Linked DNA regions of Rattus norvegicus. The protein of the gene in region 1 purifies or fractionates together with the protein of each later gene. This does not show direct contact. Links are inferred from orthologs where the notes say so. Each region holds a gene or a part of one and is shown on either strand. Other genes may lie near its edges. The genes, in order: S100a4 and Ppfibp1.

What was found.
Region 2: the proteins of S100a4 (region 1) and Ppfibp1 purify together in Homo sapiens (co-immunoprecipitation; 3 studies listed by BioGRID and IntAct, with this or other methods). This does not show direct contact. The link is inferred for Rattus norvegicus from reciprocal best matches to the Homo sapiens genes S100A4 and PPFIBP1.

Annotation. Positions count from the first base shown.
Region 1 is NC_086020.1:178,387,028-178,391,343, forward strand, and holds S100a4 (protein S100-A4), read left to right. Parts: upstream 1-1,501; 5' UTR 1,502-1,538; intron 1,539-2,334; exon of another isoform or gene 2,335-2,456; intron 2,457-2,704; 5' UTR 2,705-2,719; coding exon 2,720-2,860; intron 2,861-3,517; coding exon 3,518-3,682; 3' UTR 3,683-3,810; downstream 3,811-4,316. UniProt on the Homo sapiens protein: Calcium-binding protein that plays a role in various cellular processes including motility, angiogenesis, cell differentiation, apoptosis, and autophagy.
Region 2 is NC_086022.1:181,678,931-181,682,742, forward strand, and holds the end of Ppfibp1 (liprin-beta-1), read left to right. Parts: intron 1-716; coding exon 717-893; intron 894-1,153; coding exon 1,154-1,219; intron 1,220-1,420; coding exon 1,421-1,507; 3' UTR 1,508-3,149; downstream 3,150-3,812. Other genes in the region: Rep15 (rab15 effector protein), read left to right, coding at 3,797-3,812. UniProt on the Homo sapiens protein: May regulate the disassembly of focal adhesions. Did not bind receptor-like tyrosine phosphatases type 2A.

The DNA.
Region 1 (4,316 bases):
CCCTGAGTTGGTCCTACTCTCTCAGTGTTACCCCTTTCGATCTAGGCTTGTCAGTCCCTGAGATGCTAACCCCAGCTACCCACAAGCTTTAGAGGCTTGTCTAGCTGGTGAGGGGTGGAATAGTCTTTGCTGCTTCTCTTCTTGGAAGGGAAGAACATCTCTGCTCTTACCTGGAAGCTCAGGCATGTGCACACAGTTGGGACTGCTGTGGCAGGGGCCTCCTCAACTCCCAATAAAGAAATGTCATCTTGGCTTACTTTGGTTTTTCTGGTGGGACACACTGGGTCTTGGGACTGAGTCCTTGTTCCTTTATGCTCCTTACCACTGGAGAAAGAAGGCTTACCACTGAAGATGGACCCCCAAAGCATCAGACCCAGTAGAGATGTGCAAATCTTACTGTTCAATAGGAGGGTGGGGGCAACACAAGGTCTCATTGGATGAGACTGGAGGGTCTCTGTCTCCACCTCTCTGTCCCCTGTCTTGAACTAGAAGTCCTTATCTTGGGCTTTCTAGGAGAACAAGGGGCTCCTTGGGAGGTACTCAATACAAGGAGGATGCGGTTGTGGGACCCAGCATCAGACCCAGTAGAGATGCTCAAATCTTAGTGTCCAATAGGAGGGTGGGGGCAACATAAGGTCTCATTGGATGAGACTGGAGGGTCTCTGTCTCCATCTCTCTGTCCCCTGTCTTGAACCAGAAGTCCTTATCTTGGGCTTTCTAGGAGAACAAGGGGCTCCTTGGGAGGTACTCAATACAAGGAGGATGCGGTTGTGGGAGCCCAGAGTCAAACCCCCTCTAACCTTCACTTAACCCCTGAGTTTGTACCATATCCTTAGAGATTAATCCTGACTCCCTATTCACCTCTTTCTTCTCTAACTCTCTTCTCCAAGCTGAGCATTCAATCCCGAATGCTTCTGTCATCCCCAATACCCTTACTCAAGCTTCCATCCATGCATAAACCTCTAGGCCACACTACCACCTAACTCCATTATGATATTTCCCACTTAATACCTGGGGTGGTCCCAAGGTCCCTCCTGATTTGCTAGCCTCCACCCTGGATCTTCCTGATGTGACAAGAAGCTGTGTAGGCTGGAGAGAAGGGCTGACATTGTCCCACTGGCTGGGTCACCTCCTTAATTCCTCAGCCAGATAATTCCAGGGCAGTTTCCCATCTCTTGTCTATAACACCAGCATCTCCTTTTCTGTGCCCCACACCTCATGTACAGGTTGTCCCTTCTCAAAGCTTCCTAAGATTCTAGCTGAACTGCGGCTACTTGGTGGTATCCACCCCATCCAAGTCTCTGCCCTGCCCACTGGAGCGCACTCACTACTTGATTGTGCCTGCTAGGGAGCAGGAAGCCTAGCTCTTGGCTGGGCTGGTGGCTGGGCTGTGACACTTACCCGCATCGACCAACAGCAAGAGCAGTATCCATGTTCCCCCATCCCCTGCATGGGCAGGGCATGGCAGGGTATAAATAGGTCAGATTGTTGGGCTCTCCCCAAACCTCTCTGTTCAGCACTTCCTCTCTCTTGGTCTGGTGAGTCGTGTTGGCCTGATAGCACTGTTAGCAGTTTAGAGGCTGAGGCTAGGACAGGAGAAAGGGGGCGTACTGGGGGGAGGGCAGAAGTCTTTAACGGATCCAGATGAGAGATTCTGGTACGGAGGTGTGTGTGTGTGTGTGTGTGTGTGTGTGTGTGTGTGTGTGTGTGTGTGTTGCACAAGAATGAAAACTGAAAAACAAGCAGTATATAAATGGCTCCCGGAGATTCTGAGATGCTGAGGCTTGCTTGTATGTTGCTATAGTGTATGTTGGTGCTTGGGAGCCACTGTCATGGATAGGTATGTTGCTGGGTCATCCAAGCCAGTGTGTGGACACTCAGGTACAGGAAGCAAAGTGAAGGCATCAGCAGGCATTTTTGTTTTACGATGTTTAAATTACACTTATTTTATTTGTGTGTACGAGTGTATGGGTGGGGATGGGGCAAATGCCAAGGGGCACTTCTTGTGAGAGTCAATCTGTTCCTTCTAGCATGTGGGCTCTGGAGATCAAACTCAGGTCATTGAGCTTGGTGGCAAGCACCTCTACCTACTGAGCCACCTGTTCAACACCCACCTGTAGGCATTTGTGTTCATAGTAGTTCATAGCCCTATGAACATATAGCACCTAGGCCAAGAGAGCCTGGCTTCCCCACCCCCTCCCCTTGTACCCCAACCTCTGCCACTTCATCTCACTCCTACTAGGCAGCTGGGTTTTTTCCCTCACTGTAGGCCCCTGGGCAGGCAGCCAGCAGCCGCGCCCAACGCTGGGAGGGAGAAGAATGGGTCAGAGGCTGGAGCTTGTGGTTGAGTTGGGGAGTGAGTAAGCTGAGTGAGGGATGGAAAACTGCTGTTGTTGAGGCCAGGCCTGGGGGGGAGGCACAGAAGGCTGCTGGCATGAATTTCTAGAGTTTGAGTGGTAAGTTTTGCAAGTTTCAGAGCTTGAAGCACATATGAGCTTCTTGCCATCAGTGGGTACCACTCCTCTGATCTCCCTGGGAGTGAGGTCGGTCTCTGGAAGTGCTCTTAGAGAGTAGGTTGGAGTAGAGCACTAAAAACGGGGACAGACTGAGTGTGACTTGAGTGATGCCTAGCAACATATATCCAGCTCTCAACACACTGTTGGTGTGGGTTGGAGAAGGCTACTTTTGTGTCTCCTGCCCCTAGGTCTCAACGGTCACCATGGCGAGACCCTTGGAGGAGGCCCTGGATGTAATAGTGTCCACCTTCCACAAATACTCAGGCAACGAGGGTGACAAGTTCAAGCTGAACAAGACAGAGCTCAAGGAGCTACTGACCAGGGAGCTGCCTAGCTTCCTGGGGGTGAGTGGATCCTGTCTGTGTATTGCATATGTGATGCATCCCCAGGAGGAGGCTGGGGCTGGAGATATCTATCTATCTATCTATCTATCTATCTATCTATCTATCTATCTATCTATATCTATATCATCTATCTATATCTATCTATCTATCTACATATATATATATATATATATATATATATATATATATATATATATATATCTCTCCCTACTCCTGGCGCTTGGTATGGAACCACAATGAACCATCTACTTCACACCAGCCCCCCGTTGAGACAAGGCTTAGAATGAAGTTAACTGAAGTGGCACAGGAAAACCACATTAGGTAGTCAGTGTCTGAAAGCACAGCCTAGATCAGGACAGTCTTTCCGGTGATGTGCAACAGAAATCGAGTTTCTGCTTGTGAAGACATGATTGTGGAGGCACACAAATGCCTGCAGATCTTCCCCTCAATGACACCTTATCTTAGTTAACACCTCCTTGTCATGACAGTTACCTATAGACATAGTTAAAACAAGCGTGGGGAAGATGTGGTCACATCCTTTCCCAGCTAGCCCATGTGCTCATCTCACAGTTGAGCCCTGAGGCTAGCACGGTGTCTGCAAGCCTTCCTGAGCTCCTGGCTGGAGGTGGCGTCTAACTGTACCTCTTCTACCTCCAGAGAAGGACAGACGAAGCTGCATTCCAGAAGCTGATGAACAACTTGGACAGCAACAGGGACAATGAAGTTGACTTCCAGGAGTACTGTGTCTTCCTGTCCTGCATTGCCATGATGTGCAATGAATTCTTTGAGGGCTGCCCAGATAAGGAGCCCCGGAAGAAGTGAAGACTCCTCAGATGAAGTGTTGGGCCAGTGGGGGAATCTTCCATGTTGGCTGTGAGCATAGTGCCTTACTCTGGCTTCTTCATACATGTGCACAGTGCTGAGCAAGTTTAATAAAGAGTTTTGAAACTATGTCTGAGAGACTGGAGATTGTGGGTGGGTGGGTGGGGCTGAGGGAGGGTGGTGGCAGAGATGGCTGGAAGTTGACCTGGAGCTTTGTGGGGGCCAAACTAGAAAAGGTTGGGGAGGGGTGAGTGACTTATTCTGAGTTCATTACAAGTGTATATTTGTGTGTATGCGTGCATGTGTGTGTGTGTTTGTGTGTGTTCACGTGCTCCTGTACATGCAACAAAGCAAACTCTGGGAACACTAAAGGCAGAAACCACCAGAGGCTTGCCTTGAAAGGCTCCAGATGTGGGATGTTATCCAGCCCACGGTTCTCCCTCCTCTCTCTAGTACTGCCTCTGGGCTCAAACTGAAGTTGGGATGGAATTAAAGGTCACATCTGCTGCTGGTTGGGGTCTGGAGGGAAGACAACAGGCCTGCCTGAGTCATGAGGCAGGAGTCTTGAAGCCAGAGAAGGGTGGGGAGGTGGACTGGCATTCAGCCCTAACATTTATAGTCCAGATCCTGTCTT
Region 2 (3,812 bases), on another chromosome or scaffold:
CTCCTTCCCTCTTCTCCACCCAGCTTGGGGTTGAACCTAGGCTCTTAATCATATTAACCCAGAGCTCTGCCATCGAACTGTACACCCCAGCCTGCCCTTTCTCTTTAAATTTTATTAGTTAATTAATTAATATTTTGAGTCATGCTCTTATTAAGTTGCCGAGTCAGGCCTGAAGCTTGTGATTCTCATGCCTCAGCCACCGAGTAGCTGCAGTTGCAGGCAGGCCCCATGCCACAAAGGCCCAGCAAAGACCACTGTCCTTTCCTAATCTTAGACTGAATAGTCTTGCAAAGTTTGGCTCATCCCTGAGAGGAATTCTCTTATATGAAGTCCTGTCTAATCCAAGCAAAGGATTTTGACATGTCCCGCCTGTGGCATAACAGCGAGGTTAACCTTTTGAGAGTTACGCCAAGACCGTTTATGATATTCAGGCACGTTGCTACTGTGTCTGGGGTGCTTCTGGCTTTCTCGTGATAATTTCATCATTGAAGTTGCTACCCCTGTGTGGTGAGGTGAATTAATTTACAGGTATAATTAGTCCTCTGCTGTAGGGATTTTATCCTACCTCTGGGTGTCTTTTTGTTTTTTGTTTTTTGTTTTTTTTGTTTTTTTTGGTTCTTTTTTTGGAGCTGGGGACTGAACCCAGGGCCTTGCGCTTCCTAGGCCAGCGCTCTAACCACTGAGCTAAATCCCCAACCCCTTGTTTTCTTTTAAAGCCAAAGAAACTGACCTTTAGCAACTTTGGGAATCTGAGGAAGAAGAAACATGAAGATGGGGAGGAGTATGTCTGTCCAATGGAGCTAGGCCAGGCGTCGGGTAGCTCCCAGAAGGGGTTTAGACCTGGCTTGGACATGCGCCTGTATGAAGAGGATGATTTGGACCGGTTAGAGCAGGTAAGGCGCCCGCAGTCATGCAGACACTGCTTGGAAGCCTTGCACACTGTCACTGAGGAAGGGTGCTGTCTTCCCACGACTGAAAATAAAAATGGCCAAGTATCCTGAATAGCTGCAGATTCCCGTCCGCTTCTCAGCAGGCACATCCCCAGCACCTGACTACTTTCTTGCATATGTTCTCTGTTTAGACTGTCATTTAGTGATCTGTACTTTTGGAATTGTACAAATGAGCTTGTCACATTGTGGTCTGTTCTTGGTAGATGGAAGATTCAGAAGGGACGGTGAGACAGATAGGTGCGTTTTCTGAAGGCATCAACAATCTCACGGTAAGTGTTACAGTGAGTGCGTGTGGTGAGTGCGTGTGGTGAGTGTGTACGGTGAGTGCGTACGGTGAGTGTGTGTGGTGAGTGTGTACTGTGAGTGTGTATGGCAAGTTGCAAATGTTATTCTAAACACCTACTCGTGTGTTGGAAGCATGTGGTGCTGAGCTCAGAACTCCGTGTAACTCGATGTCCCTTGTTTTTCAGCACATGTTAAAGGAAGATGACATGTTTAAGGATTTTGCTGCCCGCTCCCCAAGTGCCAGCATCACAGATGAAGACTCCAACGTTTGAGCAGAGCACCTGGGCAAATGCCAGGAGCACACGTGTCATTTTCCAGCTTTGTTTCTCGGATAGTGTATACAGCAGGTGACAGGTTGTGCATTGCTTATTGTTCGGACTTCTGCTCGCTCAGAAGGAGAGCTATAGCACGGGAATGGTGCCAGTTCTGAGCATGTTGAGGAAAAAGAGAGGCTGGTGAGCGAAAGTGCGCTTGCTCTGCCTCTGTTTAATGCGAAGTCTGCGACGTGTGCTGTTGGAAGTGTTGCACGCACGGTTGCGTGTACCAGAGCGCCTCGCTCACATCTCCAGGAGGGAGGCCTGGCCACATCAGTGTTCACTGCAGCCGGCTGTGCTGAACGTGCTGCCCCCAGAGCCAAGTGCCACCATGTGCCAGCAGCACCGCCACTTGCCTCTCACTGTCTTATTTTTATATATTTTTCTAAATACGTGTATATATGCAGTCTACAGAAAACAGAACCTTTATTTTGTGACACAAGGATCAAAAGATCATATTAAAACAAAGAAACCCCCGTGTTCCCTATGATCACATACCAGCTGATTCTTGCGGGTACCACAGTCCCATTTTATCTCCACTGATGAATTTTAACCGTGTTAACCACTCAGGCTAAATTCTACATGATGTATACTTCTTGGTTCCCACCAAAATTGTCGAGCAGCTTAGAACTTGAACTTTAATCCCGACTCCATTTTCTTCATAATGAAGTATTTTAGGGTTGTTACCACATCAGCTTGAAGCCTTCGGATACACTCATGTCCCCATCAGAAAAGTTTTCTGTTAGAATGGCTTCAGAAAAACAAGAAACCAAACAGAACCTTTCCATGTTAACTTCCTTATTTCTTTTTCTTTGCTAAACTCATCATTATGTTGAACTAAGGGGTCCACCTAGCCATGTCCACTGTACCTGATACTCAGCCTGTCAGCTCACAGGGCTTCAGATTATTTCAGTCAAATCCCAGTATTTTAAAGCTGCATTAGAACATTTTCTGATGGTCCTGACCAGTAGCACGTCGCTCGTGTTTTCTGTAACACAAGGCCCAAGGGCTTTTTGTAAAGAAAATAGAAAGTTACAGCAGCTGCTCTGTGGCGTGTGGATGCAAGTGTTTCTAGTGGTGTTGGAGACAATCCTCTTTTTATTCAGGGCTGCTCAAAACGAGACCTCCTGTGTTCCAGACAGGAGCTTACACACCAGGGGACAGGGGGACAGTTCGGTTTGTGGTGATGGCCATTTCCAAATGTCAGCAGTATTCCTTTTCATGTTTGCCGGTTATAAAGCTGTTCATTGTGAACTTTGTAACTCTGCTGTCCACTTCTAATTAAATTATCAGATGCTAACCGTGGTTTCCTTTGAATGCTCCCATTCATGAAATCAAGACAATATTGGCTTCTTCCTGTATTGGGGTTTTAGTTTAAACATGAATAAATGTCACCCTTTGGAGAGCTCAGTTTGTTACCAGAGCCTGGTTGGAAATACCAGCAGACTGTTACAGATGCCAAGCAGTTTTTATTAAGGACAACGTAACAACTGATGATATGTGATAAAGTTAAAAAACTTCTTATTATATATTTTATTTACAAAAGTATTATGCAAAGTTCGCATTACCTTATGAGAAGAAATAAAGTCAATTGATAGTTGCCTTGTGTTTTTGTCTTTTAATGTTTCCTTGTTCAGAAAGACAAAGTCTTCGTTTCTGGTGGAAACAGTAAAGGATTCTTGCTTGTAAACTTGCACATTTGACTGAGTTTGTTTGAATCAGACAAATTGAGATCTCTGCTTAAGAAGTATGTATAAAAGGAAATGCCAGCAACCCACCTGGGGAAGGAAGGGTCAGAACAGGAAAAGAAAAGGAAAGAGAAGAGACACGAGCTTGGAGATATTGGTTGGAGAGTATAGGATTCTAATCCATACATTCACATACTGGTTTTATTCTTGGAAACAGGAGCCACAGCCAGGAAAGAGTTTACCAAGGATCAAGTGTAGGCTGTACACAACCTGGAGTAGAACAGGTGTTTTGTGTGAAATTGTCATCTGTCACTTGGCAGGCATCAGGAATCTGAGCACAACACACCCAGTTGACAAACAGGGGGCCCTCCCTCACATGTTTGTCTAGCCTCGGGTCTATATGGCTAGCCACACCAAGGAAGCTGTGACATTAGGAAGCTGGTGGTGTGGTGGCTTTAACAGATGTGGCTTCACTGAAGAAAATCTCTGAGAAAGAGCCAGTTCCCTGTGACATTCGCGGGTTGGATAGCTAGGAGCAACATTTACTGGGTGTGAGAAAATGGGGCAAAAGGCCT